Linked DNA regions of Oryctolagus cuniculus. The protein of the gene in region 6 interacts with the protein of the main gene of each other region in a biochemical or structural test. Links are inferred from orthologs where the notes say so. Each region holds a gene or a part of one and is shown on either strand. Other genes may lie near its edges. The genes, in order: RAB11A, NFKBIA, BCL10, CYLD, UBC, IKBKG and SENP2.

What was found.
Region 1: the proteins of IKBKG (region 6) and RAB11A are reported together in a solved structure, tested with the Homo sapiens proteins (2 studies listed by BioGRID, with this or other methods). The link is inferred for Oryctolagus cuniculus from reciprocal best matches to the Homo sapiens genes IKBKG and RAB11A.
Region 2: of the proteins of IKBKG (region 6) and NFKBIA, one has a biochemical effect on the other in vitro, tested with the Homo sapiens proteins (15 studies listed by BioGRID and IntAct). The link is inferred for Oryctolagus cuniculus from reciprocal best matches to the Homo sapiens genes IKBKG and NFKBIA.
Region 3: the proteins of IKBKG (region 6) and BCL10 form a complex in vitro, tested with the Homo sapiens proteins (3 studies listed by BioGRID). The link is inferred for Oryctolagus cuniculus from reciprocal best matches to the Homo sapiens genes IKBKG and BCL10.
Region 4: the proteins of IKBKG (region 6) and CYLD form a complex in vitro, tested with the Homo sapiens proteins (3 studies listed by BioGRID, with this or other methods). The link is inferred for Oryctolagus cuniculus from reciprocal best matches to the Homo sapiens genes IKBKG and CYLD.
Region 5: the proteins of IKBKG (region 6) and UBC form a complex in vitro, tested with the Homo sapiens proteins (31 studies listed by BioGRID and IntAct, with this or other methods). The link is inferred for Oryctolagus cuniculus from reciprocal best matches to the Homo sapiens genes IKBKG and UBC.
Region 7: the proteins of IKBKG (region 6) and SENP2 form a complex in vitro, tested with the Homo sapiens proteins (2 studies listed by BioGRID and IntAct, with this or other methods). The link is inferred for Oryctolagus cuniculus from reciprocal best matches to the Homo sapiens genes IKBKG and SENP2.

What each region holds. Positions count from the first base shown.
Region 1 is NC_091443.1:88,897,036-88,900,777, reverse strand, and holds part of RAB11A (ras-related protein Rab-11A), read right to left. Parts: intron 3,105-3,742; coding exon 2,911-3,104; intron 1,983-2,910; coding exon 1,902-1,982; intron 717-1,901; exon of another isoform or gene 1-716. UniProt on the Homo sapiens protein: The small GTPases Rab are key regulators of intracellular membrane trafficking, from the formation of transport vesicles to their fusion with membranes.
Region 2 is NC_091443.1:40,158,249-40,162,516, reverse strand, and holds the start of NFKBIA (NF-kappa-B inhibitor alpha), read right to left. Parts: upstream 2,808-4,268; 5' UTR 2,601-2,807; coding exon 2,374-2,600; intron 1,789-2,373; coding exon 1,680-1,788; intron 1,352-1,679; coding exon 1,141-1,351; intron 888-1,140; coding exon 799-887; intron 681-798; coding exon 420-680; intron 304-419; exon of another isoform or gene 141-303; coding exon 93-140; 3' UTR 1-92. UniProt on the Homo sapiens protein: Inhibits the activity of dimeric NF-kappa-B/REL complexes by trapping REL (RELA/p65 and NFKB1/p50) dimers in the cytoplasm by masking their nuclear localization signals.
Region 3 is NC_091438.1:85,908,519-85,912,875, reverse strand, and holds the start of BCL10 (B-cell lymphoma/leukemia 10), read right to left. Parts: upstream 3,011-4,357; 5' UTR 2,713-3,010; coding exon 2,656-2,712; intron 1-2,655. UniProt on the Homo sapiens protein: Plays a key role in both adaptive and innate immune signaling by bridging CARD domain-containing proteins to immune activation.
Region 4 is NC_091449.1:34,288,951-34,293,265, reverse strand, and holds the start of CYLD (ubiquitin carboxyl-terminal hydrolase CYLD), read right to left. Parts: upstream 2,861-4,315; 5' UTR 2,780-2,860; exon of another isoform or gene 2,688-2,779; intron 2,122-2,687; exon of another isoform or gene 2,057-2,121; intron 1-2,056. UniProt on the Homo sapiens protein: Deubiquitinase that specifically cleaves 'Lys-63'- and linear 'Met-1'-linked polyubiquitin chains and is involved in NF-kappa-B activation and TNF-alpha-induced necroptosis.
Region 5 is NC_091452.1:5,126,932-5,131,016, forward strand, and holds the start of UBC (polyubiquitin-C), read left to right. Parts: upstream 1-1,285; 5' UTR 1,286-1,650; intron 1,651-2,104; exon of another isoform or gene 2,105-2,273; intron 2,274-2,419; 5' UTR 2,420-2,422; coding exon 2,423-4,085.
Region 6 is NC_091453.1:132,763,769-132,767,967, forward strand, and holds the start of IKBKG (NF-kappa-B essential modulator), read left to right. Parts: upstream 1-1,387; coding exon 1,388-1,574; intron 1,575-4,199. UniProt on the Homo sapiens protein: Regulatory subunit of the IKK core complex which phosphorylates inhibitors of NF-kappa-B thus leading to the dissociation of the inhibitor/NF-kappa-B complex and ultimately the degradation of the inhibitor.
Region 7 is NC_091435.1:95,274,749-95,278,490, reverse strand, and holds part of SENP2 (sentrin-specific protease 2), read right to left. Parts: intron 894-3,742; coding exon 717-893; intron 1-716. UniProt on the Homo sapiens protein: Protease that catalyzes two essential functions in the SUMO pathway.

The DNA.
Region 1 (3,742 bases), on a different chromosome or scaffold from region 6:
GTCTGAGTGACACACCATTCTTTTCTATGAATTTCAGAAACAAAACACCTGATAGGTTGCAACACAACAGTCAAATGAAATCATACCACAAGGTTTTATAAACACAAACTCTCTCTCAAAACAGAAATAAAAGAACTTCCCCAAAATTTTACAGATGAAGAAGATCTTTAAGGTTAAGGAACTTGCCTAAGATTTAGAGCTAACAGTAAGTGAAGGAGTCAGGACTAGCACCCAAGTCAGGCCTCCAAGTCCATGTTCTTAATTCCTAGGCTTTATTCCCAACTTTTTTTTTAACAGTAAAATAGTATTTTAAAGCTGAAATCTGCTTAACTCTAATACAAGTACTATATACAAACATTAAATTAAAACTTGGGAACTGGAAACTCATTAATAAACATTTCTCCATATAAACTTTTTAAGACCACCACCACATAAGACTGTCCTATATATTAAGACAATATTCTGGGGTCAGCGCTGTGTCGCAGCGGGTTAAAGTCCTGGCCTGAAGCACCAGCATCCCATGTGGGCACCGGTTCGAGACCCAGCTACTCCATTTCCGATCCAGCTCTCTGCTATGACCTGGGGGAGCAGTAGAAGAGGGCCCAAGTCCTTGGGCCCCTGCACCCATGTAGGAGACCCGGAAGAAGCTCCTGGCCCCTGGCTTTGGATCAGCGCAGTTCCGGCCATTGTGGCCATCTGGGGAGTGAACCAGCGGATGGAAGACCTCTCTCTCTGTCTCTACCTCTCTCTGTAATTCTGTCTTTCAAATAAATGAAATAAATCTTTGGAAGAAAAAAAAGAAAAAGACTATACACTAGGCCAGCACTGTGGTGTGCTGAGGTAGGCCTCCACCTGTGGCGCTGGCATCCCATGTGGGCGTCAGTTCATTTCCCGGCTGCTCCTCTTCCAATCCGGCTCTCTGCCTGTGGCCTGGGAAGGCAGTGGAAGATGGCCCAAGTCCCTGAGCCCCTGCATCGGTGCAGGAGACCTGGAGAAGACCTGGCCCAGCTCCAGCCATTTGGAGAGCGACCCAGTGCAGAGAACCTTTCCCTCCGTCTCTAACTCTGCCTCTCAAATAAATAAATAAATAAAACTATATTCTAACTCACGAGTTCTTAAACGTACTATACAGTTTATGGAGTGGGCATTGTGCCACTGCGGGTTAAGCCACCTTTGCAATGCCCACATCCCATATCAGTACTGGTTTCAGTTCTGGCTACTCTACTTCCAGTCCAACTTCCTGCTATCACATCTGGGAAGGCAGCAGATGATGGCTCAAGTACTTGGATCCCTACCACCCATGTGGGAGACCTGGATGGACTTCCAGGCTCCTGACTTTAGCAGGCTGGCTACTGGGGTCATCTGAGGTGTGAACAGCAGACAGAAGAAAATTCTTGTCTGTATCTCTCTCTCTTTCTCTCTCACTGCCTTTCAAATAAAGTAAATCTTCAATTGAACTTTTGTATATTCAATCACTGGCTGATTTTATCTGCAAGTGACAACCTGCATCTTCCACATCACAGCAGAGTTTTCTTTTCACTTAACTGTTTAAAAATTTATTTTTTCCTAGCCTTTTCTATTCTTTACTGAATTTCTAAAACACATTTATATCTTTCCACATCAAGGTAGATTTAAACATAACTTCAGCTGTGACTGTGATAACAAAAGTGAACAAATAAGCCTCAAAACATTTTTCCCATATAAAGATGAATTGGGATGACTGGAGCTCAATGAACAAGATCTGTAACTAATTTTGTACTGCAAACAGCTCTTGCTATAGTAGTTCTCAAATGACAGTCATTCTCCAATGGTGCGATACATAGCTTCCTGAACAATCTGCTTTTATGACCTTCCTGAAACTTCCAATTCCAACTGGTATAATCTGAAAATGCAAATCTTACCTGTTAGAATTGTTTGAAAAGCAGCTTCTACATTTGTAGAATCTAAAGCAGATGTCTCAATAAATGACAAACCATTCTTTTCTGTGGGGAGACACAAAAACTCAGTTTTGTCAAGTTTTACAAGTAAAAGAAAGAATGTCATATAATTAAGCTCTCAAAAAAGAAAATAACATGACTTTTTAAAATCTAAGACTGTGCCAACTTCTGGGACCGAAAGGGCACCATTCTGTTTATACTCTACCAGACTGAAGTTTTCATTGGCTTCTTGATTAAATATTTATTACTCTAAACATTACCAATAGCAATGAATGAGATCACTCAAAATGTAGTAAACTTACCAAACACTCAACTGTGCTCATTCCTTACAGTCCTCTGCATCCCTATGGTATTCACTTAGAATTTTAGAATTCTGTTATTATTGAAATAAAGTTTCTTCTTGTCTGGGAAACTAAAAACTGTTATGGAAAACTATTCACAGCATAATCACTAGTGCAAGGTCATGACTTTCACTAGCTAAGAATGCATGATGTTGCTTTCTGATAAGCTGCCCTTAACAAAACTGGGGCAGGACCAAGAGAAAGGCAGATCCTCTATGGGACCAAAGACAGCTCCTAAGCAGCTGTCTCCCTGTTGGTCCCTAACAATGGCTAGACCCATCTAGAGCTGCATTGGTAAAATACAGGCTTGATGGAAAAGGAGGTAGAACATGCTTCATTAACAGATTTCACCTACCACTTCAAGGGACAGAAAAGAGGACAACATTTATTTTCTGTGTTTTTTTTTTTTTTTCCCCACAAAAACTCAAAGTCTTGGTGTTTCAGTAACTTGAAGTTCAGCTAAAGAGCCATACAGTAATCACAAACTTTCAAAACAATCATCTTTGTTGAGTAATCATGTTTACTTTTCTGAAACTATTACAACTACCCTCAGTGAAAGAGTGAAGAAACTGCAAGACATAATAGTAAAAACTACAGAATCACTGTAATAGCATGGGATTCAAATCACTAACCTGCAAAAGCTCTTGCTTCATCGGTAGGAACTGCCCTGAGATGACGTAAATCACTCTTGTTACCCACGAGCATGATAACAATGTTACTATCCGCATGATCTCTCAGTTCTTTCAGCCACCGCTCTACATTTTCATATGTGAGATGTTTAGCAATGTCATAAACCAATAAGGCACCTACAGCTCCACGATAGTATCTGGAAACAGAAACACACACATTTTTAATTTTTTATTTACTCACAGTAATTGAGAGGCAGAGAGACAGAGAGAAAGGGGTAGACATTGCTCAACTGCTGGTTCACTCCCCAAATACCTGGCAGCTGGGAATTTAATTCAGGTCTCCCACATGAGTGGCAGGGACTCAAAGACATGAATCACCACCTGATGCTTCACGGAATCCAAAGCAGGGTCGGGACGCAAACCCAGGTACCCCAATATGGAATGCAGGGGTCCCAGTCACTGCACCAAACACCCACTCTCATTTTGTTTTGCTTATTTATTTTCATCCACTTGAAAGGCAGAGACAGCAAGAAAAAGATCAATCTTCCATCTGCTAGTCAACTCCCCAAACGCCTGCAACAGCCAGGATACCAGAACTGCATCCAAAACTCCTGTATGAGTGGCAGAGGCTAACACCTGAGCCATCGTCTGCTGCCTTCCACAATGCATCAGCAGGAAGCTGGATTGGAAGCAGAGTAGCCAGGACCTGAAGTGGCACTCGTAATATTTATTTATTTGAAAGAGAAATCTCCCATCTACTGGTTCACTCCCTCAAAGAACCACAACAGCCAGGGTTGGGCGAGGCCAAAGCCAGGAGCTTCCTCCTAGTCTCCCA
Region 2 (4,268 bases), on a different chromosome or scaffold from region 6:
TTTTTTCCTTTTTCCTTTTTTTTTTTTTAGAAAAATAAAACTCTCTTTTTGTACAAATATACAAGTCCACGTGCTTTCCAGGCGCCTGGTGCTCACAAGGTCAGGCGCTGGCCTCCGAACACGCAGTCATCATAGGGCAGCTGGAAGAAGAAGAGGAGAGTAAACCTCCAAGGCCCAGCCCGGGGCTGCAGGCCGCAGGCCAGGGCCCTGGCTGCGACTGCAGCTCCGATCCCCCCACCCGCCGTGCAATGAACTTGACAGGCTGAGTGCATTTCCCTTGAAGGATTTGCTGCTTAAAGAAGGGTAAGCTACTTTTATTTTTATTGGGGGGGGGGGGTTCTATACAGTCGGAGAGCTCTATCCAATATCCCAGGGCTGCTCAAGGGAAGGGGCCTGGCAGGGTAGGGGATGGGGCTCACCTCGTCCTCCGTGCCGTCCGACTCCGTGTCACAGCTCTCCTCGTCCTCACTCTCGGGCAACCTCTGGAGGTTCTCCAAGGTCAGCTGGCCCAGCTGCTGCTGGATCCGGGTGCTGGGGCGGCCCCATGTGAGTTGGTACGGGGAGTAGCCCTGGTAGGTGACCCGGTTGACATCGGCCCCGCACTTCAACAAGAGCGACACCAGGTCCGGATTCTGCAGGTCCACGGCGAGGTGGAGGGCCGTGCGCCCATTGCAGGGTTCCTAGAGCCAAGAGGAGTGTGAGATGCTTAGGAGGCGTCTGGCATTCCTGCGTGCAGCCAGTGTGGCTGACATGTTGCTGGCAAAGAGCAGCACTCCACCTGGCTCGTGAGGCACTCACCTGGGCGTTGACATCAGCACCCCAGGACACCAACAGCTCCACAATGCCCAGGTAGCCGTGGATGGAAGCCAGGTGCAGACACGTGTGGCCTAGACGGACAGAAGGAAGAGAGCATCACCACCTGTTTCACCGTCCCCCTAGTCACTCATGGGACAAGCACATGTGGCCCCTGAATTCTAAGGAGCCCGAATCTGGGTTCTGAATGAACATTCCAGCAGCCTGAGACAGGCGCTTGATACTCATTTCCTCCTGCTTTCACAAGCTGGGAGTTTAAGCTCTGCCCTGCACGCCTTAGGCCAGCCCGCCTCCCCCGCGCCGCCCGCCTGGGACAGCACAGCGTACCGTTGTAGTTGATGGCCTGCAGAATGGAGTGCAGGTGCTGGGCCGTGCAGGTCTGCTTGAGGACGCCCACGCTGGCCAGGCAGCCCTGCTCGCAGGCAAGGTGCAGCGGAGTGTTTCCTCGAAAGTCCCGCAGCTCAGGATCACAGCCAGCTTCCAGCAGTGCCTCAGCAATTTCTGGCTGGCTAGTGATGACAGCCAAGTGGAGCGGCGTCTACGAGTGGGAGAGCGAGCACAGATAAGCCTCGGCGCAAAGTCGTCCTCCGAGTGCCCCTGAGCCGCAGACATCTCCCGGGGGTGGGTGCTGCTCCTCCCAGACAGGGACAGGGGGCCAAAGACCAGGGCCCCGGGTGGGTCGCAAAGACCTCACCCAATCCGTGGGCTTTTAACTCTGCAGGAGACCGGCTTATTGGAATGTGAAAGGCCAGGGCAGGTAAGGACCTGTGGCTGTTCTTTCAGAGAGCTAGGGGTGGGGAGGACTGTGCCACATCGACTGCATCCCGAGGTCACAGAGGGCACAGGGCTGGGGACGACAGGCGCACCTGCTGCAGGTTGTTCTGGAAGTTGAGGAAGGCCAGGTCTCCCTTCACCTGGCGAATCACTTCCATGGTCAATGCCTTCTCTTCATGGATGATGGCCAAGTGGAGGAACCTGCAGGCCAGAGAGGGGAAAACCCCCCGCAAGGGGCGGTGAGCGCACTGCGTGGGGCCCCGGGGAGGCGCGGCCTGCGGGGGATTGCGCAAGGCCGGGGTTTCTGGAGCCGGGGCCGCGGTGTTTTCCGCGGGGTTATTATGAGCTGAGTGTTCCTGGCAGGCGCCCAGGGACTTTCCGGGCCCCGCCCCCCCCGCGGCGGCGCCGGCCAGGCCGCCCCGCCCTCCCGGCGGCCCGGAACGCCCTGTACTTCCCCCGCCGGCCGCGCGGCGCCCGCCCGCCCGCCCGCCTTATGCAACCCGGGACTCGGCGTCCCTGCCGCCGCGCCGCCCCCCGCCGCGAGCGCCGGGCTGCGGGGTTCGGGGTGTGCGGGGACGGGGCCGTCCACGCCCTTCCCCGCCGGCCCGAGGAGCCCCCAGAGGAGCCCCGGCCCGCGCGCGGCCGCCCCGCAGCTTTGCGGCAGACTCGGCGGCGCTGCACGGCCATCCCCCCCCTCCAGCCCGGCTGTGCTGCAGCCCCGGGGCCCGCGCTGCAGGCCCGGCCGCCCCCCGCCCGGCCCGCGGCCCTCAGCCCCCCGACACTTACGAGTCTCCGTCCTCCGTGAGCTGCTGCCTCCAGGGCTCGGCGGCGCGCGGCGCCTCCTGCGGCTCCAGGCGGATCTCGCGCAGCTCCTTCACCATCTGCTCGTACTCCTCGTCCTTCATGGAGTCCAGGCCGCTGTCGTGGCGGTCGTCCAGCAGGCGCTCCTTCTTCAGCGCGTCCCGGGGCCCCTCCATGGCCCAGTCCTGAGCGTGCTCGGCCGGCTGAAACATGGCGCTGCTCCCCAGGTGCTCGGCCGCGGGCTGCGCGCTGGCGTCCTCGTCCTGTCGCCGGCTCCTGGCGGGCGGCGCGCTGCGACTGTTGTGGGCTCGGCAGCGCCGCCGCGCCGCCCTATAAACGCTGGCGGGGAATTTCTCTGGGGGCGGGGTCAGGCGCGGGGAATTTCCAAGCCAGTCAGACCAGAAAAGAGAACTGGCTTGGTCCTCTGCTAGGGGAAAAAAAAAGGCAGCCTAAACTCCGAGCCGGGGTTCATCGGAGAAACTCCCTGGGATGACCCACCGGGGTCATGTCCAGGGAACTTCTCGCTGCGCGCTGAGTGGCTGGAAAGTCCTCCGGGCCCGGCGGCCGCCGCCGCCCCGGTGCTTCCCTGCGGACCGCGCGCGGCCAGGCCGACCCTGCAGGGCCCTCCTCTCTCCCTGGGGTTTCCCACGGCCGATTGCACTCGGGGTCGTCTGCTGCAGGGATCCCGAGGACACAGACCTGCCGGGCCGTTCCTCTTTGGGGTTTGCCGCCCAGCCGGTCCTTTCCGTTTTCTCGGATCTTGCGGAAGCGCAAGAGTGGAAACGGTGGCTGGCCGTGGGGGTTTGTCTTCCCCAGAGTTGGGTGCAGTTCGCGGGCGGCCCCTGGGTTCCCGCAGATTCCCGGCCCTGTAGGGTGCAAGCGCTCCTGGCGTCCCGACCCCCTCGGGGAGAAGCTGGGTTTTAAACCAAGTCCCGTCCTGGGGACTAACAGGCCTGTCGGCTGGGGGAGGGACAGATCTCGCCCTGCGAGGGGTCAGCGCTCAGTGGGGCCTCAAGGGTTTGCTTTTTGTTAAGCAAGGAGTTCGTCTTGGTGGGAGGGGTTGCAGGTAACCTTGCAGTAACGAAGTTCATGGTCTGTGCTGCAGGAAATGGATCCTGAGCCTATTTCTGAGTGCCCAGCTGAGCAATTTTTCAGCATTGGGAGGAGCCTGACCAATGGGTGGCAGTTAGTGTCTTACCCAGGATTGGGCCTGAAAGATGGCCAAGAGTAACTGCCAGGCCCCCCGCGGGAGGTTCCAGGCGGCTCCCCCGTGTGCTCTGGGAGAGGGCAGTAGCTGGAGCCATTCCTGCAGTGCCACTCTTGAGAGAATCCCCTGGCTTTAGAGAGGTTATGCTCCGGCCCCCGAAGCGGCAGACTGGGCTGAATTCAACTACTTCTGGAATTGGTGCAGGTAATCAAATCGGCTTTGATCGGCTTTGAGCATGAGCTCCAGGGGCCTCTGCAGAGGTTTCTGGAGGTTGTGGCAATCACCTTCGCCTTACTGATCAGGTACAAAGCAACCCTTGCCTCTCCTCGGATCTCCACCTGTTCCCCCCATATGGAACATAGGGGATAGGGTCACTAGGACAAAATATGAGGGCAAAAAAGTAAAATCAAGAAATAAACCCCTCAGTAGTAATGGTCACATGTTAGAGTGAGAACTTCCCAGTAGAGACTGCAGTGTCTGCAGGCTTAGGAACCGCACACACGGGTTTATCAAGGCAAGGTCGCACAGTGATGCAGGCAGGAGGCCTCGGTTCCAGGGTCAAAGTCACTGCGCACTGGCTGCACAAGTCAGTAAATATTTTTTGTAGTGTACTTGTTTTATATACTAATGGGATTGGATTGAAGGCTATTTAAGTTCTTTTCCAGCTTAGAAA
Region 3 (4,357 bases), on a different chromosome or scaffold from region 6:
CATCAGTCTTACAGTAGTATGCATTTTTCATTTATTAAACTGAATTAAAAGCAATCAAAAAGATGAGGTAAACAATCAGATGGAGAAGCGAAGGAGAAGGAAAGCGCGAGGGGGAGTGGCCAGGAGGATGGGTGTTGGTACACCTGTCCCACCTTATTTGAGGCAGTTATGTTCTAAGACCCCCAGTGGACGCCTGAAACAAGAACTGTGACACTGCCACAGTTGCTGGTTACTGGGATGACTACCAAGCAACTAAAGAGGGGGTACTGCATACAGCAGACCATGTTGAAAATGTCATGGGAAAAAAATCTACAAACCAAACCAAACACATGTTTTTTTTTTCACAAACCTCCTGAAACCCATTTAAGTTTTCCTCCAGGTTATATATTTACTTCTTTTTAAAGAAATGTTTATTAATTTTGATTTTTTTTAAAAGGCGGAGGCAGAGAGAGAGAGATAGAGAGAGATACCAATCTTCCATCCACTGGCTCACTCTTAAATACCAACAATAGCTCAGGCAAAAGCCAGAGCCAGGAACTCCACCAGGGTCTCCCAATTGTGTGGCAGGGATCCAAGTACTTGATTCATTATCTGCTTCCTCCCAAGTACATTAGCAGGAAGTCGGGACTCCATCCCAGGCACCGTGATATGGGCTGCAGGTATCCGAGGTGATAGCTTACTCTGCTGTGCCACAACCCCTACTCCAAGGATACATATTTCTGATACAGGGATAAATTGAAATCACAGAAATGGATAACATCAGTGAACCATCAGAGAAAAATAAAGGCCCAGAAGCCACTCTCCCATCTGTATGTGTGTACAGGTCTTATTTCCTCTCATTTGTAATCACACTGGTTTTATCATTTGTAAAGGGAGAATGGCCATTATCTCCTTTACAGGAAGTCATAAAGCTTAAGTAGGAACACTGTAAGTTGTGTAACATCATAAATTGTGGAACATAATAGGCCTATCTCTTGAAATGCATGGCTTTAGTGGCAATCGTTGTGAATGAGACAATGCTTGTTTACTTTCTATAGGCTGAACATTCCTAATCTGACTCTCTGAAATCTGAACTCCTCCAATATCTGCATTGCTGTGACACAAGTGGAAAATTCCACACCTGACCTCATGTAATAATGGGGCAGCCAAAACAAAGGCATATAAAACATAAGGTACAAAATTACCTTCGGATTATGTGGATAAGATGGATACCAGAGAGGGGGAGAAAGATTTTCCATTGCTTGATTCACTCCCCAAATGGCCACAACACCTGGGACTGGACTAGGCATAAGCCAGCAGCCAGCAGCTCCATACAGGTCTCCTGTATGGGTGTCAGGGGCCCATGCAGTTGGGCCACCTTCCACGGCCTTCCCAGGTCCTTAGCAGAGATCTGGATTGGACAAAGAGCAGCAAGGACTCGACTTGGTGCTCCAATATGGGATGCTGGTACTGCAGGTTGCGGCTTAACCCACAACACTACAATGCCAGCCCGCATAAATGATTTTCAAGTTTCAACTTGAGTCCCTATCCCCAAGATTTCTCATTACGGATACGCAAATCCTGAAATCTGCAACAATTCTGGTCCTAATGATTTCAGATAAGGAGTACTCAACCTGTGGTAGTCCTACCTCAACTAGGAGCCTACAGCAGGGGCATGCAAGGACAGCACTCTACACACGCCAAGTGCTCTTGGGGGCCTCTGCTGCGTGAGGAAACTAAGGCACTGGTCCCACCCTACCGTTCCCTTCTGCCAGGGAGTCGTGCCAACTGCCAACTGCCAGCTCACAGTAATACACCCTCCGGGGAGGGCAGCGGACTGGAGGTGGAGGAACATTTCAGAATTGTGTCCTGTCCACAAGTGATTCTGCAGAAGTCCTGTGGTGTGAATTTGTTTTTAATTCGAATTAACATAAAATACCTTCGCAGTAGTACTCACCCAGGCCTCACCTGGCAAAGAAAAACCAAACAAGTAATACCTCAACAAGGCCACTTTTTACAAATAAATATTAAGGTCTGTGCGGCTCTGCATCCTCCAGGCAGAAGCTCCTGGATATTTTCAACGCTGATTTGTAAAGGAACGGAGCAACGTGGGTTCACGCCTCTCCCCGTATTTAAATATGTGGGCGTTTGCTTACTAGGGGAATTCCAAGCTGTGCTTTCAGCTGTTGAGCTTCCCCCAGACCCCGCTGCAAAAGTTTCACCCGCTGGATCCTCCGACTGGTCCAGCTTGTGCTTTAGGTGAGACGGCGGCCCGGGCTGAGCCTGATCCGGGCTGAGCCCGAGCCGCCGATCTCTTAAGAACGCAGCTCCACGAGCCCGCGAGGCCGAGGGGATCATGCGGGGATGGGTGAGCAGCAAGCAAGAAGCGGGCTGCCGAGAAACGCCCCGCGGGACAAGATCTCAAGATCTCAAGCTCTGCGCGTGGCGATTTTAAAAACACGGATCAACAGGTCCCCGGAGGCGGGGGTCACTTCCCCCGAGGCACCGCGGCTGCAGAGCGCACAGCCGCCCTCCCCTGCCTGGACCTTCCGTTCCTCCGCCCTGGAGGTTCCTCCTAGTCCCCCGACACTGGGTTTCCGCTTTCCTCTCCGGCGGGGCCGCGGCCCGCCCCGACCCCGCCGGCCCAGAGCCCTCCGCGGCGCCCCGGCTACTCACGTCCTTCTTCACTTCAGTCAAGTCCTCCTCAGTGAGGGACGGCGCGGTGGGCTCCATGGCGGAGGCGCGACCCCGCGCTGCTTCCGGGTCTGAGAGCTCTGACGGCACCGCCCCGCCCAAACTGGGGACCAGTCTCGGGATATTGGGGGAGAAAGGACGAGGGGCAGATTATGGTGGGCGATTCGGGTACCCCTTGAAAAGCAGAAGGGATCGGGGTTCAAAGCCTAGCGCTTCCGGCTCCGTCTCCGGGACCGACGGCGCTGCAGAAACCAGGCGCGGCGACGCGGAGCTTGGAGTTCGGCCCGCCAGCCCTCGGGAAGGCGGTCCGTCGATAGGGCCCGCCCCGTTGTGCGGCGGCCAATGGGTGCCAGCCCCAGGCCACTCCTGCCCCGCCCCCGGCTGGAGCCTTTCCTGGGTGGGGCCACCGTGGTTGACATCACCTCAAGCCACGCCTCCGGAGGTCGTCTGAGAGCTGCCGCGGGTGGACTTCTCCAAAAGGAATCGTTTCCGTGGGCGGGCCCGCGGCCTGCACGGGCTGCTCGCCTCGGTGAGTGTCGGCCGTTGGTTCCTCCCCTTTTCCCAGACAGTGCTCTACAGTTTCCGGTTGCTGTGTTTGCCCATTCAAGGTTTTCATATTCTTTGCCACGAACACACACCTACATTAAAGAAATTTTGGAAAGAGAAAAGGAAACCACCCGCAACCCTACCGCTTTAATACCTGATTTAATGTTCATTGTATGCAAGTTATTCGCGTTTATTGATCTGGTAAGGGACCTGTGCTTCACTCACAGGGCTGCTGGGAGTAGATGAAAAGTTTTTAGAGGTACTTGGCACACAGCGTACAATGTATCATTTATTTTCTTTTATTATTTATTTTCTTTTATTATTCAAACATTTGTTGAGTCCTCATTGATATTTTTAGGCAGTGTAAGAGTTCTCTATTTTATGGGAGGAGGCTGATGACCAGTGAAAAATAACAAGAGAACCAAGGACAAATTTGGGAAAGCCAATATTTAAGGGAAGGGACAGGAAAGAACAATGTTGCAAAAGCCAGGCCATTACAGTTTTGATAATAACACAAGGACTCTGGTTTTCACATTAACCTTTTGTCATATCATGAGAATGTTTTTTTCCACGGTGATGCATAATGCGAGTAGTTTTGCTGATTGCTTTATCTTCCATCATCTTGGTATAACTCGATTGACTTAACAGTACATTCTTTCATTTAACAAACACTTATTGAATGTTGCTATGGTTTGGATGTGATTGCTGCCCCAAAGGTTCATGTGTGGGAAGCTTGAGTAGCCCCTGTGTAGTGACATCAAGAGATGGTGGGACCTGTAAGAGGTAGGGCTGCGGGTGGGAGTCTGGTGCAGCGGTTAAGAATCTTTGTGGCACACCCACACCCACATCCCATATCAGAGGGCCTGGGTTCCTATCTCCAGCTCTGCTTCCTGGTCCAGCTTTTTGTTAATGTTCTTGCAGGTGATGGCTCAAGTACTTACTTGGGTCCCTGTCACTGACATGGGAGACCTGGACTGAGTTCCTTGCCCTGAGTAGCCCAGCCTTGGATGTTGAAGGCCTTTGGGGAGTGAACCAACAGATAGAAGATATTTCTCTGTCTCTGTCTCTATCTGCCTTTCAAATAAATGAAAATAATTTTTTTAAAAGGTGGTTGGGAGTTGTCATTGTTATAGCAGGT
Region 4 (4,315 bases), on a different chromosome or scaffold from region 6:
ACAAAAGGCTTAGCTTTCGACAACACTGAACATGAAACGGGGTCACTTGGATTTGAAAACATATCTGGTTACCTGAGCTTCCTGACGGTCTGGATTCTAGCAAAGGGGAATTGAACGTATTAAGATAAAATTATCAAACCAACACGAACACTGGAAAACACAATTATTTTATCCATCTCCCATGAAAAGCAGATGATCAAAAAAAAGTTTTACATAAACATATCAAAGGCCAGAACACTGTGTTCTAAAAAACAATACCTAGTACAAAGGCATATCACTAGCTACAGAGAACTCACAATGGTTAACCTATCCAGAAGATACAAGTGTCATTTCACGCTGGAGTCACCAGGTTCTACTGTTCCCAACAGCTCACAAAGACAGATGTAATTCAAGAACTACATCTTCTTTTGTATCTGCCGAGATAGCCTCCCTGTTTCAAAAATCATAGGAGGCTATCTAAATTCGAATTAAAGCTGCAATGCTAAATTACTGCCCCTATTTATAAATGGCAAAGAAGTAGGAAGGCCAGCTCAAACAACAAACAAGGGAGACCCGTGGGCCTTTCTTCAACTGCTTCTAGGCAGCTGGAATGGTTGCCCTCGTCAGAAAGAACACCTCTCACTAAAGGAACTGGCTGTTAAATTCTTAAATGGTTCAAGCACAGGAACATGGGGATTCCAGGACCAGAAGAGAGACTTAATTTCCATGTTCCTCATTTTACTAACTTGTGACACAAGGACACAGTCCCTAAAACAAGTGGGATTTATCAGGTGATAGGCAAAGTCTGGCTCCTTCCCCAACACGTTCGTGTCAGAAGAACAAGGAACAGTATCCTACACTCACTGACATGTCCTATGTCCCATGTCCCCTGCGCAGACCCCACACGCGAGAAACGAACGAAACACTTTTGGCTAAGTCAAGTGATAAGAGCCACAGCTGCAACTCTCATTCCTCATCCTGTTTTTAAGGAATTAAAATCTTCTTGCAGGTTAAACAAACGAAGGGAGGGAGGCAAGGAGAAAGGGCTGGGAGGATTCAGTGAGGTCTGCCTACAGCTTCACTCTGGAGAGAGGAAGTCATGGGGAAGTCCCGCGGCACTGCACTGTTACACACCTAAGAACAATCAAATCCGGGAACGCTGTGAGGCTCACTGGAAGTAGCCTCCGTGGAGCCTCACGCCGTATGTGATGCTTAGGAATTCTATATAACCAAGGTAAGAAATTGAAGATGACGCTCTGAAATCCAGGAACACAGTTCTAACAGTTTAACGAGTGAGACAATTACTCTTCTCTCTTCTTGTGTTAAAGACTTCCTTAAATCAAACAAAACCACAGGTACCCGGCCAAACCGCAGACATCATCGTTGCCCAGTGTCCGTTGTTTTACATAGTAAGTGCCCTGGTCTTACCAGCTTCCCAGAGAGGTACCACCCAAAGGAAGGCCGCCTTCCTTTGGCACAAGAAGACCCACCAATTCTCCGGCAGACCATTAAAGAGCGGTCTGGGTGCTATCAGCATTTGCAGTACTTGAACTTCAAGAGGAATTTCCAACAAATTATTTCCTGCTAACACTGTTCTAGTTCAAAGCCACCCACTCCCCAGTGGGGAATGGCAGGCTAAATTGTTAGGGCCATTCAATCTACTTGGGGAATGAGGGGGCGTGCAGAAAGCTACCACTTGAATGGACACCCTCTCCCGGCCTGAGCTTTGCTCTGGGAACCAGGGTTTGCAAAATGAACAATCTTAATTGGCCCCAAATCAAAAGCAGGATAGGACTGCTCATTAGCTAAGGATACAACTTTCCAGGGGAAACTGGGGAGAGCAAGGTGGCAAGGACGAGGGGGTTGGGCAGCCACAAGCTTGCTGGCTGGAAGACGACAACCAGCCCAAAACACGCAAATGCCAAGGGGTGGCACAGGATGCCAAGTACACGAATAGCCCAGCAGCTGACCCAGATGAGCACCGAACTCAGAAACCCCATCCTCCTTCAAGACTTCATGATTTCCCCCACACACGCTTAATAGGATTTAAAAAAAAAAAAAAAAAAAAAAAAAGTACCTGTCGCAACAGGGCGCACCTTTCAACTACAGAACTCCAGGTTGTTGTGCAAAACCATCCTCAACCTGGAAACGGGAAACGGAAAGAAGAAGCAGAACACGCCATTAACGAGGTCAGAACCCCGGCTGCTCTTCCTGGACGGGCGCCGCAAACACCTCGAAACCGACCGATCCAAACGCCCCTCTACACGGACGGGCGACGCCGCAACCCGGGGCTCTCGGGGTCAGCTGGGGCCGGCCAGGGCCAGCCGGAGGCCCGTGCCTCAGTTTCCCCGTCTGTTAACGGGGAGGCAGGGCAGAAACGGAGACTGAGTCCCGCACTGTCTTCACCCCAAGACCCCTCTTCTCCGGGAGTCCCAGAGGCGGCGGCCAAGCTGCCACCACCACTCAGGATCGAGCACTCCCGGGAAGGCTCGGCGACAAGTGGAGACCCAGGGTGGGGAAGCCCGGGCTGACGTCAGTGGGCTCAGCACCTCGCGGGCCGGGGAAGCTCGGCGGGCCGGGGCAACTAACGGGCCGGCGCCGAGGCCCGACCGTCGCCGCGGCGGCTCCAGGCGCCCTGAGGCCGGGGAGGGGCGCCTCAGAGGACTGGGCCGCCGGCCACTCGGCCGCCCGCTCACTCACTCACCCACCTAGAGCGGCGGGACGTAACCCCTTGCCCAGGCTCCCTAGCCCACGTCCCGGGTCGGCCCCGTCGCCCCACACCCACCACCCTAGTATTTACCTCCGACGCGCGGCCCCCGCGCAGCCGAACCTGCTACCTGGGCCCGCCCCCACCTGCCCCGCCTCCGAACCGCCCAAGAGGGAAGGAGGGAGCGGGGGCGGAGAGGGCGACCGCTGAGCTAACCAATCGCTGCCAGAGCTCCCTTCCTACGCGCGCCCTGATTGGGCCTTCCTGTGGCAGACCTTCCTCCAATGGCTGCCCGCCCGTCGCTGGATGAAGGGACTTTCCGCTCTGTCAAGCTCGGTGGAGCCAAAGGGAAAGCAGAGGGGAAGGGCGGAGAAGAACGGGATGGGGGCGGGGAGCTCTGACTGATTGGACGAGAGACTACGGACGCCTCATTACCATTGGGTAATGTCGGAGCCGGGGCGGGGCGCTTTGCTAGTCCCAGCTCCGCCTCTCAAGCTCATGCTCGGGTCTCGGCTCTCTGCCTCAGCTGTCAAAAGGAGGCTAGGGGAGGAGCCCGGATGAGAGCTGGTAATAGGGTTCCAGGGTTCCAGAAAAGAGCAAAGCTTTAGAATCAGACCTAAGTTCGAAGCTGCTGCTCTCTCAATTAGTCACCAGTTGTGGGGGACCTCGCATTCAAGCTGGGTCTCAGTTTTCTCATCTGTAAAATGGAGGTGACAGCGACACCTGGCTTAAACGCCGGAGTGTCTTCCTCCCCGCCAGAGGCGGCCTGCGAGTCCTGCTACAGTCTGTCGTCACCTGCGCGGGTCCAGAATCTCCCTCTCCGCACGCTGCCTCACCCAGCCCCGCGCCCCTGGACGCCAGCCAGCACTTGGGTGTAGTTACAGATCCGATTCCCAAAAGTGCTCAAAATATATAAGGAAATGCTTTTTATAATCAGTCCCAGAGCCTCGCAGCGGGACTTGCTGCACTGGATACTCCTGTTAATTACTTCCTTCTCCTTTGACATTTTAGGTACTAATTATGGAAGAAGGTGATTAATACTGAGAAAGGAGGAGGGGTGTGTGTGCGCGCGTGTGTGCGTGTGTGTGCGCGCGCGTGTGCATGTGCGTATTTAATGACACAAATTTCCCCAGTGGAAAGCGATACGTTTCTGAAGATCTAGGGAACTGAAACCAATGAGTGCATAAAACTAGTCATAGAAGTGATTACTAACTCCCTTGCCGTAATCGCCCGGAGTGAAATGGACCTCTTTTGAAAACCTAAGCCTTGATCCCCTCCCGCTCCTCCTTGGTCTACCCTTAAACTGCAGCAGAAGCAACAAGTTGGGAGTCTGGCTCCAGTGGCCTCCGGCAGCGCTGTTCCCCTGTAGAGTTCGATTCTTCAATAAAGCTGATAGGGCTCAAAGGTCGTAGGCAGGCTGGCTGGCTGGGAGAAACTATTAGCCTCAAGATGGTTTTTGCTTGCCCATATACCAAGGAGGAGGGAAGAAAAGAGGAAGTGGAGTGAGGGAGAGGTATTCTGAATCCTTTCACACAAGACAAGCCCTCTCACTTCCTGCACCTGGCCACACTGCTCCCCATTCTCTGTTCCGTCCCCAGGACCACTTCTCTCATTTGCATTACCACCTGG
Region 5 (4,085 bases), on a different chromosome or scaffold from region 6:
AGATGCGAACTTCAGAAAAACAAAACAAGAACGAAAACACCTGGCCATCACAGGAATCCGTGCTGGCCATCACCAGGGTCTCCCGCTAGCTTGGGTTCCTGCTCTGCATTTTAACCCCCCGGGCCCGGGCATTCCTTGTTTGGGGGTTTAAGGGGTGGAAAAGTCCTCTAACAATGCTCAGGTAGATCTTCCCAGATCCACACAGCCGCAGGTTACCACAGCAACCACACAGCGGTTGTTCTGCCGGGGCTTCTCGGTGACATGACACTTGTAAAACGGTCTTCCCCTCTAAGGAGGGGCTGTGGTCCCGCCTCCGCCCCATCGTGGCAATGGAACATTCTAGAAGAGTCGCACAGCACAGCGTGGGGAGGGGGGGACTCGGGGCACGAGGGGGCAAATCCACCGCTAACGTTTAAGAGCCTCCAGCTCACCTGCTGGTCGACGCCACGATTCTCCCAAACACCAGGACACGACCCCGTGGCTGACCGTGCCCCTCCCCCTTGTGATCACAACGCGAGGTGCGCGTTTCATGCATCGGATCCCGGAAACACAGAGCGCAGCTTCGGTTCGCGTCCGTAAAAAGGCCCAGGTTAAAGCCCGGGCCGCACCAGGCGCCTCCGGCGGCGGCTTCCGGGGAGAGCCTGGGCGGCCGCGACCAGCCGCAACCAGCCAGCGCTGTCGGGGTCCGCCGTGGCTCCCCGCGGGTCTGCGCGCCGGCGGCCCGGGGCCGGGGCCGGGGCCGCGGAGGCGAGGGCAGGATGTGTCCAATCACCGGCCCGGCCCCCCACGAGACCACGGCGGTCACCTCAAACGCGACCCCACAGAAAGCCCCCTCGAGGTCACGGGCCGGGGGGACAGAGCGGGCCGCGCGCGGGGAGGCCCGGATGTGCCCAGTCACGGCCCGGCCCCCACGAGACCACGGCGGTCACCTCAGACGCGACCCCACAGAAAGCCCCCTAGAGGTCACGGGCCGTGGACACAGTGGGCCGCGGAGGCGAGGCCCGGATGTGCCCAGTCACGGCCCGGCCCCGACGAGACCACCGCGGTCACCTCAGACGCGACCCCACAGAAAGCCCCTCGAGGTCGCGGGCCGGGGACAGAGCGGGCCGCGCGCGGGGAGGGGGCGCCGGGCCGGAACCCCCGCGGGCCGCCCACCGACGGGCCGCTGCGGCCGAGGGGACGGGGCGCGGGGCGGAGCCGAAGCCCCCGGCCGCCCGCCCGCTCCGGGCGCCGCCCGGCTCCGCGCCGGGTCTTCCCGCCGCCCGCGCGCCGGCTCCCCTCCCCCAGGGCGGGCGCCCGCACGTCGGCCGCAGCACGCAGCAAACGCCCTGATCCCTCCGCCGGGCCCCTCAGGGCGGCGGCCCCTCCCCTCCCGGGCCCGGCGGTACCGCCCCGGGCTCGACCCGAGAACGTTTTGTGAGGGGGCCGACGGCCCCGGGCGCAGGGTTCCTTCCCGGAGGGCGGAAGAGGCTGAGGAAAGTAGTTCCTTCTCGGCGTTTCTGCGGAGGGATCTCGCCGGGGCGGCGGCTCGCCGTCGGACTATATAAGCGGGCGCCGGGCGCGGCGCAGCCAGTTCCGTCGGAGCCGGAGTTCGGTCGCCTTCATCCTGCGTACAGCTGCCGCCGCCGCCGCCGCCGCCGCCGCCGCCTGGTGAGTGGACCTCGTCGTGCTGGCCGGGGTGGGGGCGGCCCGCGGCCTCTCGGCCGTGAGGGAGGAGGGCGGTGCGGCTGCCCGCCGCGGGCGGGACGCCCTCCCGGGCGGGTAGTCGGCTGGGGTCGCCCCGCAGGCGGAAGAACCGACAAGATGGCGGCGCCGCCGAGCCGGGAGGTCAGGGTGCAGGGCGGACAGGGGCCGGAGAGCGCCGAGCGCCGCGAGGGTCTGAGGAGCGGAAGGCGGCGTCGCCGGGCCGCGTTTGGAGACGTGGGGGAGCGGTGTGGCGGGGCTGACGGGCAGCGCTGGGCCCCGGTTAGGGGCTGGGGAGTAGGGAGGCGCCTCGGCGCGGGGCTGCTCCAGCGGGTGGGGGGCGGCTCGCGCCGTGACGTCACCCGCGTGTTGGCACACAGAGCAGGGCGGGGCTGCCTCCCGGTGTGGGTGGCGTCGGTTTCTGTCAGTTGCAAGACACACGGTTAGGGCCTAGGCGAGATCCTGCTGAGTGGACGGGAACGCGAGCCGGAAGGGGGGAGGGACGGAAAAGCCCTGAGTTCACTGGTCACGTTTCCCTGCTTTCTTCATAACGAAGGGTCTGAGGCTGGGGTTTTGAAGTAATTTTTCAGGTTTGTGTTTGGTGTCCTTTGGAGTTCCTAAGCAAGTTATTAATTTTAATAGTGTAGATAAATAGACGATATTCAGTCTTTAGGAATATTAGTGAATTGTTTGCTGAATTTTTTTTTGTTTCTTTTTGTGTGTTTTCTCATAACAGACAATGCAGATCTTCGTGAAAACCTTAACTGGCAAGACCATCACCCTCGAGGTGGAGCCCAGTGACACCATCGAGAATGTCAAGGCAAAGATCCAGGACAAGGAGGGCATCCCCCCTGACCAGCAGAGGCTGATCTTTGCCGGCAAGCAGCTGGAAGACGGCCGCACCCTGTCCGACTACAACATCCAGAAGGAGTCCACCCTGCACCTGGTGCTGCGCCTCAGAGGTGGCATGCAGATCTTCGTGAAGACCCTGACCGGCAAGACCATCACCCTCGAGGTGGAGCCCAGTGACACCATCGAGAACGTCAAGGCGAAGATCCAGGACAAGGAGGGCATCCCCCCCGACCAGCAGAGGCTGATCTTTGCCGGCAAGCAGCTGGAAGACGGCCGCACCCTGTCCGACTACAACATCCAGAAGGAGTCCACCCTGCACCTGGTGCTGCGCCTCAGAGGTGGCATGCAGATCTTCGTGAAGACCCTGACCGGCAAGACCATCACCCTCGAGGTGGAGCCCAGTGACACCATCGAGAACGTCAAGGCGAAGATCCAGGACAAGGAGGGCATCCCCCCCGACCAGCAGAGGCTGATCTTTGCCGGCAAGCAGCTGGAAGACGGCCGCACCCTGTCCGACTACAACATCCAGAAGGAGTCCACCCTGCACCTGGTGCTGCGCCTCAGAGGTGGCATGCAGATCTTCGTGAAGACCCTGACCGGCAAGACCATCACCCTCGAGGTGGAGCCCAGTGACACCATCGAGAACGTCAAGGCGAAGATCCAGGACAAGGAGGGCATCCCCCCCGACCAGCAGAGGCTGATCTTTGCCGGCAAGCAGCTGGAAGACGGCCGCACCCTGTCCGACTACAACATCCAGAAGGAGTCCACCCTGCACCTGGTGCTGCGCCTCAGAGGTGGCATGCAGATCTTCGTGAAGACCCTGACCGGCAAGACCATCACCCTCGAGGTGGAGCCCAGTGACACCATCGAGAACGTCAAGGCGAAGATCCAGGACAAGGAGGGCATCCCCCCCGACCAGCAGAGGCTGATCTTTGCCGGCAAGCAGCTGGAAGATGGCCGCACCCTGTCCGACTACAACATCCAGAAGGAGTCCACCCTGCACCTGGTGCTGCGCCTCAGAGGTGGCATGCAGATCTTCGTGAAGACCCTGACCGGCAAGACCATCACCCTCGAGGTGGAGCCCAGTGACACCATCGAGAACGTCAAGGCGAAGATCCAGGACAAGGAGGGCATCCCCCCCGACCAGCAGAGGCTGATCTTTGCCGGCAAGCAGCTGGAAGACGGCCGCACCCTGTCCGACTACAACATCCAGAAGGAGTCCACCCTGCACCTGGTGCTGCGCCTCAGAGGTGGCATGCAGATCTTCGTGAAGACCCTGACCGGCAAGACCATCACCCTCGAGGTGGAGCCCAGTGACACCATCGAGAACGTCAAGGCGAAGATCCAGGACAAGGAGGGCATCCCCCCCGACCAGCAGAGGCTGATCTTTGCCGGCAAGCAGCTGGAAGATGGCCGCACCCTGTCCGACTACAACATCCAGAAGGAGTCCACCCTGCACCTGGTGCTGCGCCTCAGAGGTGGCATGCAGATCTTCGTGAAGACCCTGACCGGCAAGACCATCACCCTCGAGGTGGAGCCCAGTGACACCA
Region 6 (4,199 bases):
TGGACTCAGAGCCCCTCTTGCTAGGTCTGTGAGGACTGCTGTAGGCAGTGACCACAAGCTTGGTGGCTTAAAGCACCCGAAATGTAATCTCGTGGTTCTGGAGGACAGTAGTTGGAAAGCAAAAAGTCGACAGGACTGCAGCCCCAGAGGCTGAGAGGAGAGGGTTCTCTCTCGTCTCTTCCAGCTTCTGGTGGCTCTGATTTTTCCTTGGCATGTGGCCACATCTCTTTATTATCTGCTTCTTTTTTTTTTTGACAGGCAGAGTGCACAGTGAGAGAGAGAGAGAGAGAGAGAAAGGTCTTCCTTTGCCGTTGGTTCACCCTCCAATGGCCGCTGCGGCCGGCGCACTGCGGCCGGTGCACCGCGCTGATCCGATGGCAGGAGCCAGGTACTTCTCCTGGTCTCCCATGGGGTGCAGGGCCCAAGGACTTGGGCCATCCTCCACTGCACTCCCTGGCCACTATCTGCTTCATTTTTTTTAAAAAAAGATTTATTTATTTGAAAGGCAGATAGAGAGGGTAGGATGGAGAGAGAGAGATGTTCTGTCTGCCGTTTCACTCCCCAGATGGCTGCAATGGCCAGGGCCAGGCCAGGCTGAAACCAGGAGCCAGGAACTTCATTTGGGTCTCGCACTTGGGTACAGGGACCCAAGCACTTGAGCCATCTTCCGCTGCTTTCCTGGGTGCATTAGCAGGGAGCTGGATTGGAAGTGGAGTAATCAGGCCTTGAACCAGTGCCTATATGGGATGGTGGCTTAACCCGTTACACCACAATGCTGGCCCCTTCTGACTGTTTTCACCTGGCTTTCTTCCTTGCATGTTTTCCTCTGTCTTTTGTCTTTTATAAAGACACTTGTTAATGGATTTAAGGCCCACCTGAATAACCCAGCAAGCTCTCATTTTGATCAAGGCCCTTAGTTTACATCTGCAAAGATACTTTTCCCAAATAAAGTTGCATTTATAGGTTTTGGGGCTACCATGCAGCCTACAGTACTTGGGAGGGAACATCCCCTCCGGCTTGAGGGTCTGTGTAAGGGTAGGGGTCCCAGCGCACACCGATGTCTCCTGCTACAATAATCCTTAGTTTTCTGCCTCTGGCAAAGTTCCTGCCTTAGGTGTGCATCCTGAAGATGGGTGCTGGTACAGAGTCCGTAACCAGTGCTAAGCCATGGCCTGTGCAAGTCTCACAGAGGTGGTTCAGCATCTTCCTTCGGAATGAGGGTGTTTGTGACCTCTTAGATCGAAACCCCATTTCGGCCAGAGGGATCAGCATTTTGCCTTCATGGCCCCAGAGCTCCTGCACAGAGTGTACTTATCCTGCTGGGGATGAGAATTCCCCTGGGTCTCATGGGATGCCTTTGCTGCCTTTCTCGAAGAGCGTGCCTTGGATGAGCAGGCAGCCCTGGAAGAACCAGCTGTGTGAGATGGTGCAGCCCAGCGGCGGCCCGGCCGGGGACCAGGACGTGCTGCCTGAAGAGTCTTCTCTGGGGAAGCCGGCCATGCTGCATCTGCCCGCAGAGCAGGGTGCTCCTGACGCTCTCCAGCGCTGTCTGGAGGAGAACCAAGAGCTCCGAGGTGAGGTGGACAGCAAGTAGGTGGGGCACAAAGTCAGGGGATCTGGTCCTGCTGAAGGCAAGGCTTCTCTCGTGCACCTCTGCGTCTGCTGGGTGTGGGGCGAGGGCACCCCGAGAGCCAGCTTGTGCTTCCAGCGTAGCTACCTTGCCTCCTGGTTCCAGGCGGGGTTCCCTGGGAGCAGACCGAGGTGCATGGCAGGGTCAGTACTGAGGCAGAGAAGGGAAGGAGATGGGAGAAAGCAGGGGTGGGCAGCAGAAGTGGGCTGCCTTGGCTGACCCCCAGGGACTCTGGGGCTGGACTGACACTTCCAGGCTGGACCAGCGTGGCCCAGCCTCAGAGGACCTCTTCCCTGGGAGGGGACTCAGACTTTCCTGGGGTGGGTTGCGGTCTTGTTTGAGAGGGGGGTGCTGTGGCCTGTCCTGGGAAGTGGGTGTGGCCCACCCTGAGAGGAGGTGGTGTTGACCAGCATGAGAGGCATGACCCCTGCTGCAGTGGGGTAGCTGATGCCTCAGTTGTGTCTTTAGTTGGCCATTCATGTCCTAGTTGGCCAGTGGCTCTTGCCACAGTTGTAGTCCCATTCCCCACCTCCTTAAGTGAGTGTTGGATGTGATGTAGGGTCTTTTGCTGATGAGTCACGTGCTCTGTGGCCTCAGGGAGTGGTGCTGGCAGATGCCATGCACGCAGGGAGCAGACCTGGGTCTGGAATGTGTGTCCTCTTCCTAGGAGACAGCTAGCCACCAAGAGACTGCTTGGTTTCCTTGAAGGTTGCATTGGAGAGGCCCCGCCTTTTTTTTTTTTTTTTAGATTTATTTATCTGAAAGGCAGAATTACAGAGAGGCAGAGGCATACAGAGAAAGAGAGGCCTTCCATCCGCTTGTTCACTCTGCAGATGGCCTCAACGGCCAGAGCTGTGCTGATCCCAAGCTGGGAGCCAGGAGCTTCTTCTGGGTCTCCTATGCGGGTGCAGGGGCCTGAGGACTTGGGCCATCTTCTGCTTTCCCAGGCCATAGCAGAGAGCTAGATCGGAAGTGGAGCAGTGGGTCTAGAACCAGCGCCCATATGGGATGGTGGCACTGCAGACGGCGGCTTTACCCACTATGCCACGGCGCTGGCCCCGAGGCCCTGTCTTGAGCACAGAGCAGCAGTGTCTTCTACCTCAGTTCTGTTGACCTCTGGGGCCAGCTAATTCTCTGTGGTGAGGGCTGTCCTAGCCATTGTGGCATGGTGAGCAGTATCCCTGGCTTCTACTCACAGGTGCCAATAGTGCCCCTCCAGTCCCCTGGGAGTCACAGTTGTCCTTGAGTGGGACCCACTGTGCTGGGGTCTTCAGAACAAGTCATGCACATAGAGCTGGCAGCCAGATCGGGGCCTCTGCTCATCCCTAGGGGCCCAGAGCATTTCAGAGCAGTTGTGCAGGGCTCATGCCATGGCCTGTGGTGGCTCGGCTCTTCTGCCTCCTAGACTGTGTGTTCAGCACAACAGCTTTGCTAAGTCTCTGGCAGCAAGTGGAGACTTGAGGCTATATTGCCTCCAACTGGGAAGCTGGATAAAGCTTGGGGGGCAGCATGTGAGACCCCCGGGGCCCTGAAGGTGATTGTCCCCCAAGGTGCTCATGATTGTGTCTATAGGTAGGCTGTGAAACCAAACAAGGGAGGGTACAGTGTTTGCTCAGAACGTTTATGAAGAAACTTCCCGGAAGAGCTTGCCTGTATTCACGTGACATGTCTCAGAGACAGAAAGCAGTTGAGTGGACGCCAGGAGTGCGGGCAGGGGGCCTACGGGAGAGAATGCTGCTGGGTTTGGGGTTTCTTTCTGGGGTGCTGGGAATGTTCTGGAATTAGGTAGTGCTGATGGTTGCATGATCTTACAGCTTCATTAGCTAAAAACCACTGGATGACTATACTTTAAAATAGTTAAAATGGTGAATTTGATGTTACATGAATTTTTACGTCACTAAAAAGAAATTTAAAAGACATTGCACACAAGTTGAGACTCGGGTTGAGTGGGCAGGCAGCAGTGATGGCCAAGGGTTTGGAACATTCAGTGATGTGAAACTACTGTCTACCTCTGTTGGATACGGTTCTGTGGTTGCCCTAGAACCTTGCACGTCACTGATCGCTTTTGTCAGATGCTTCTTCCTCTACCTGGGGTGGTCGCTGGGTATGTGGCTTTCCTCTCCTCTGGCCTCTGCCAGCCACCTGCCGCTGGCACTGATATATGCTCATGGCTTAGTCTGGCGAGAAGAAGACTGCTCTTATTTATTTATTTATTTATTTATTTATTTATTGACAGGCAGAGTGGATAGTGAGAGAGAGAGAGACAGAGAGAAAGGTCTTCCTTTTGCCGTTGGTTCACCCTCCAATGGCCGCCACGGCCGGTGCGCTGCGGCCGGCGCACCGCGCTGATCCGATGGCAGGAGCCAGGAGCCAGGTGCTTTTCCTGGTCTCCCCATGGGGTGCAGGGCCCAAGCACCTGGGCCATCCTCCACTGCACTCCCTGGCCACAGCAGAGGGCTGGCCTGGAAGAGGGGCAACTGGGACAGAATCCGGCGCCCCGACCGGGACTAGAACCCGGTGTGCCGGCGCCGCTAGGCGGAGGATTAGCCTAGTGAGCCGCGGCGCCGGC
Region 7 (3,742 bases), on a different chromosome or scaffold from region 6:
TTATGTACTTGGGAAAGCAATGGAGGATGGACCAAGTCCTTGGGCCCCTGCACCCATGTGGGAGACCTGGATGAAGCTTTTGGCTCCTGGCTTTGGCCTGGCCCAGCACTGGGTCACTGCAGCCTTTTGAGGAGTGAACCAGTGGATGGAAGATCTCTTTCTAGCTCTCTCTCTCTTTCTCTCTCTCCTCTAACTCTTCTTTCAAATAAATAAATAAATCTTTAAAATAAATAGGAGCTGGCATTGTGGTGTGGCACGTGAAGCTATTACCAATAATGCTGACATCCCATGAGGGTTCAGGTTCAAGACTGCTGTAGTTCCAATCCAGCTCCCTGTTAGGGAGTCTGGGAAGGCAGCTGAGGATGGCCCAGGTGCTTAGCCCTCTGCATCCACATGGGAGATCCGGAGGGGGCTCCTGGCTTCCACCTGGCCCATTCCTGACCAGATCAAAGATCTAGCTCTCTCTCTCTTACTCTCTCTGTGTAATTCTTTCAAATAAATGAATAAAAATAAAAAAGAATCCATTGAGTTTGATGGTAGGAGTCCTTCACAGATCACTAATGATAATGTAACCAAAGTGACTAAGCAGATCTTGAGCTTGATTTTTTTTTTTTCAAACATGCTAGCCTGGAGAAATTCTTCAAACATTCGTTCAAGTTTAGAGTAACTGAGGTTATGTTAAAACAGGTCTCATTCTGATCAATACAGAACAGTACCTCTGTAAGTTCAAGGAGATCATCCGTTCTCCTATCCCTCTCTTTGCTTGAGCAATTCTTTTCCTTGGTCTCAAGTATCGACATTCTCCTCCTGAGTAAGCCGTTGCTTCCATTACCCAGGCGGAGTCGGGCAGACACTTCTTCTGACAGGTCAGGCTCCAGCTGGTGTCCCCTCCTCTGATCAACAAAATGTCTATATTGTATTGACATGTTTAATACTTGTACATATAAGCATACATTACACATAAAATAGAAAACAGTGCTATTATCTTGAACGAAAAGAGAATTAGCAAATCCCTCAGATGAATAAAGTATATTTAGCACATCTGTCTGTTCTTGCAGCGGAGAACAAAAAAAAAGCTCTAAACTTAAGGCTCACAGGCCATGGCAACTACAAACCATGAAACAGAACACAGACTACTTTCTCTGAGTAACAAAAGTATTTTCAGTTCTCCTATCACAATTAAAAATAATACAGTTAACAGGTATGTTGAAAAGTGTAAAAAAGCAAAAACTATGACACATAATCCCATGACAGAGAATAAGCCATTGCTAATCTTTTACTAAGAAGCTTTTCTATTATACCTAAAAAGTTATTAAAAATTATAGAAGAATTCAAAAACAGGAAGGCAAAGCCTATCAGAATGGCCAATGATTTCATTCAAGTCTGTGTAATGAGGGCCTCTGCAAAGCACAGAGGACAGTTCAGGGAGCCTCTGGATGGCTGAGCACCTGGAAGTGCCTGGAGGTGGATTTGCCCAGAGGGCTCAGAAGCTCTGTACTCCTCATCCTATGTATCTCTTCCATCTGGATGCTCATCTGACTCCTTTGCAATATCCTTTACAATGGGTAAACGTAAGGAAAAAGAAAAATGCAAAACATTAATGTACCACTTAATTAACTTGTAAAATGAACACCCTGTAACTGCCATTTCAAGTCAACAAATAAAATTGTCAGCACCCCAGAAGCTCCGATAAGCCTTAAAATTAGGTTATTTAGATACAGAACTTTGGAACAGATACCACACTAGTGTCAAGACACCTAGCCAGGGGCCACTCTTGTGAGGTAGCAGGTAAAGCCACTGCCCACAATGCCAGCGTGCCATATGGGCACCAATTCAAGTCCTGGCTGCTTCACTTCTGATCTAGCTCCCTGCTTATGGCCTAGGAAAGGCAGTACATGATGGCCAAAAAACTTGGGCCCCTGTCACCCACATGAAGCTCCTGGGTCCTGGCTTCAGCCTGACTCAGTCCTGACCATTACATCCATCTGAGGAGTGAAGGATAGGAGTGAGGATAGAAGATATCTTTCTCTTTGTTTCTCCCTCTCTCTCTCTGTAGCTCTGTCAAATAAATATATAAATCTTAAAAAAAAAAAAAAAAAAAAAAAAAAAAGACTCCTAGCCAACACTCTTCATTCTAGCTAACTGCCAGGTATACTGGTCCCAGAAAACCAGTAGCTTCTAGTCCTTCCCCGTGGCCTGAAACAGCAAAGTCTTCATATTCAACAAGGATGAAAGTAGGATGTTGCCCTTACCCAGTTTCCAAACACCCCCAGTCTGTCCTCTCTCAGGCTTAGTTTCCCTCTTCTTTCAGCTTTTACTCCACAGGTAATAAATAACAATTAAACACAAAAGGCTTGGGGCCAGCACTGTGGCACAGCGGGTAAAGCCGCTGTCTGTGGTTTAAGCTCCAGCAGTTCCACTTCCAATCAACATCCCTGCTAGTGTGCCTGGGAAAGCAGTGGAAGATGATCCAAATATCTGGGCCTCTGCATCCATGTGGGAGACACTGATGAAGCTCCTGTCTCCTGGCTTTTGACAGGCCCAGCCTCAGCCATTGTGGCCACATGGGGAGTGAACCAACAGATGGAAGACCCCTCTCTCTCTCTCTCTCTCGCTTTTTAACTCTGCCTTTAAGATAAATAAATAAATCTCTCTTTTTTAAATTTATTTATTTATTTGAAAGAGTTACACAGAGAGAGTAGGAGAAGCAGAGATAGAGGTTTTCCATCTGCTGGTTCATTCTACAATTGGCCACAATGGAAGTAGAGCAGCTAGGACATGAACCGGCACCCATATAGGATGCCAGCGCTGCAGGCAGTGGCTTTAGCCGCTAGGCCAGAGTGCCAGGCCCTAAATAAATAAATCTTTAAAAAACAATGCAAAAGGGGCCGGCACTGAGGCGTAGCCGATTAACACCCTAGCCTAAAGTGCAGGCATCCCATATGGGCTCTGTTCTAGTCCCGGCTGCTCCTCTTCTGATCCAGCTCTCTGCTATGGCCTGGGAAAGCAGTAGAAGATAGCCCAGGTGCTTGGGCCCCTGCACCAAGGTGGAGACCCGGAGCTCCTGGCTTCTGGCTCCTGGCTCCTGGCTTTGGATTGGAGCAGCTCTGGCCTTTGCAGTCATCTGGGGAGTGAACCAGCAGATGGAAGACCTCTCTCTGCCTCTCCTCTCTCTTTGTAACTCTTTCAAACAAATAAGTAAATCTTTAAAAACAAACAAACAAACAAACAATACAATACAATACAATACAATACAATACAATACAATACAAAAGGCTCTACTCTGAATCACTGGAAATGGAGAACATAAGAGAATGGGAAATTCCAAAACTTATGAGTCAGGGCCTGCACTGTGGCGTAGCAGCTAAGGCCACGGCCTAGAGCACCTATTCTAGTGCTGGCTGTTCCACTTCTAATCCAGCTCTCTGCTATGGCCTAGGAAAGCAGTAGAGGATGGGCCAAGTCCGTGAGGCCATGCACTGTGTGGGAGACTGGAGGAAGCTCCTGGTTCCGGGCTTTGGATTGGCACAGCTCCGGCTGTTTTGGCCATCTGGGGAATAAACCAACGTTTGGAAGACATCTTTCTCTCTTTCTCTCTCTCTCTCTGCCTCTCTGTAACTCTGCCTTTCACATAAATAAATCTTTTTAAAAAATTTTATGATTCAAGAGTATAACTCTGCCTTAAAACTAACTCTTATGAAGATGTCTAGGGAAGAATACAAACTAGACCAAACTGATGTTT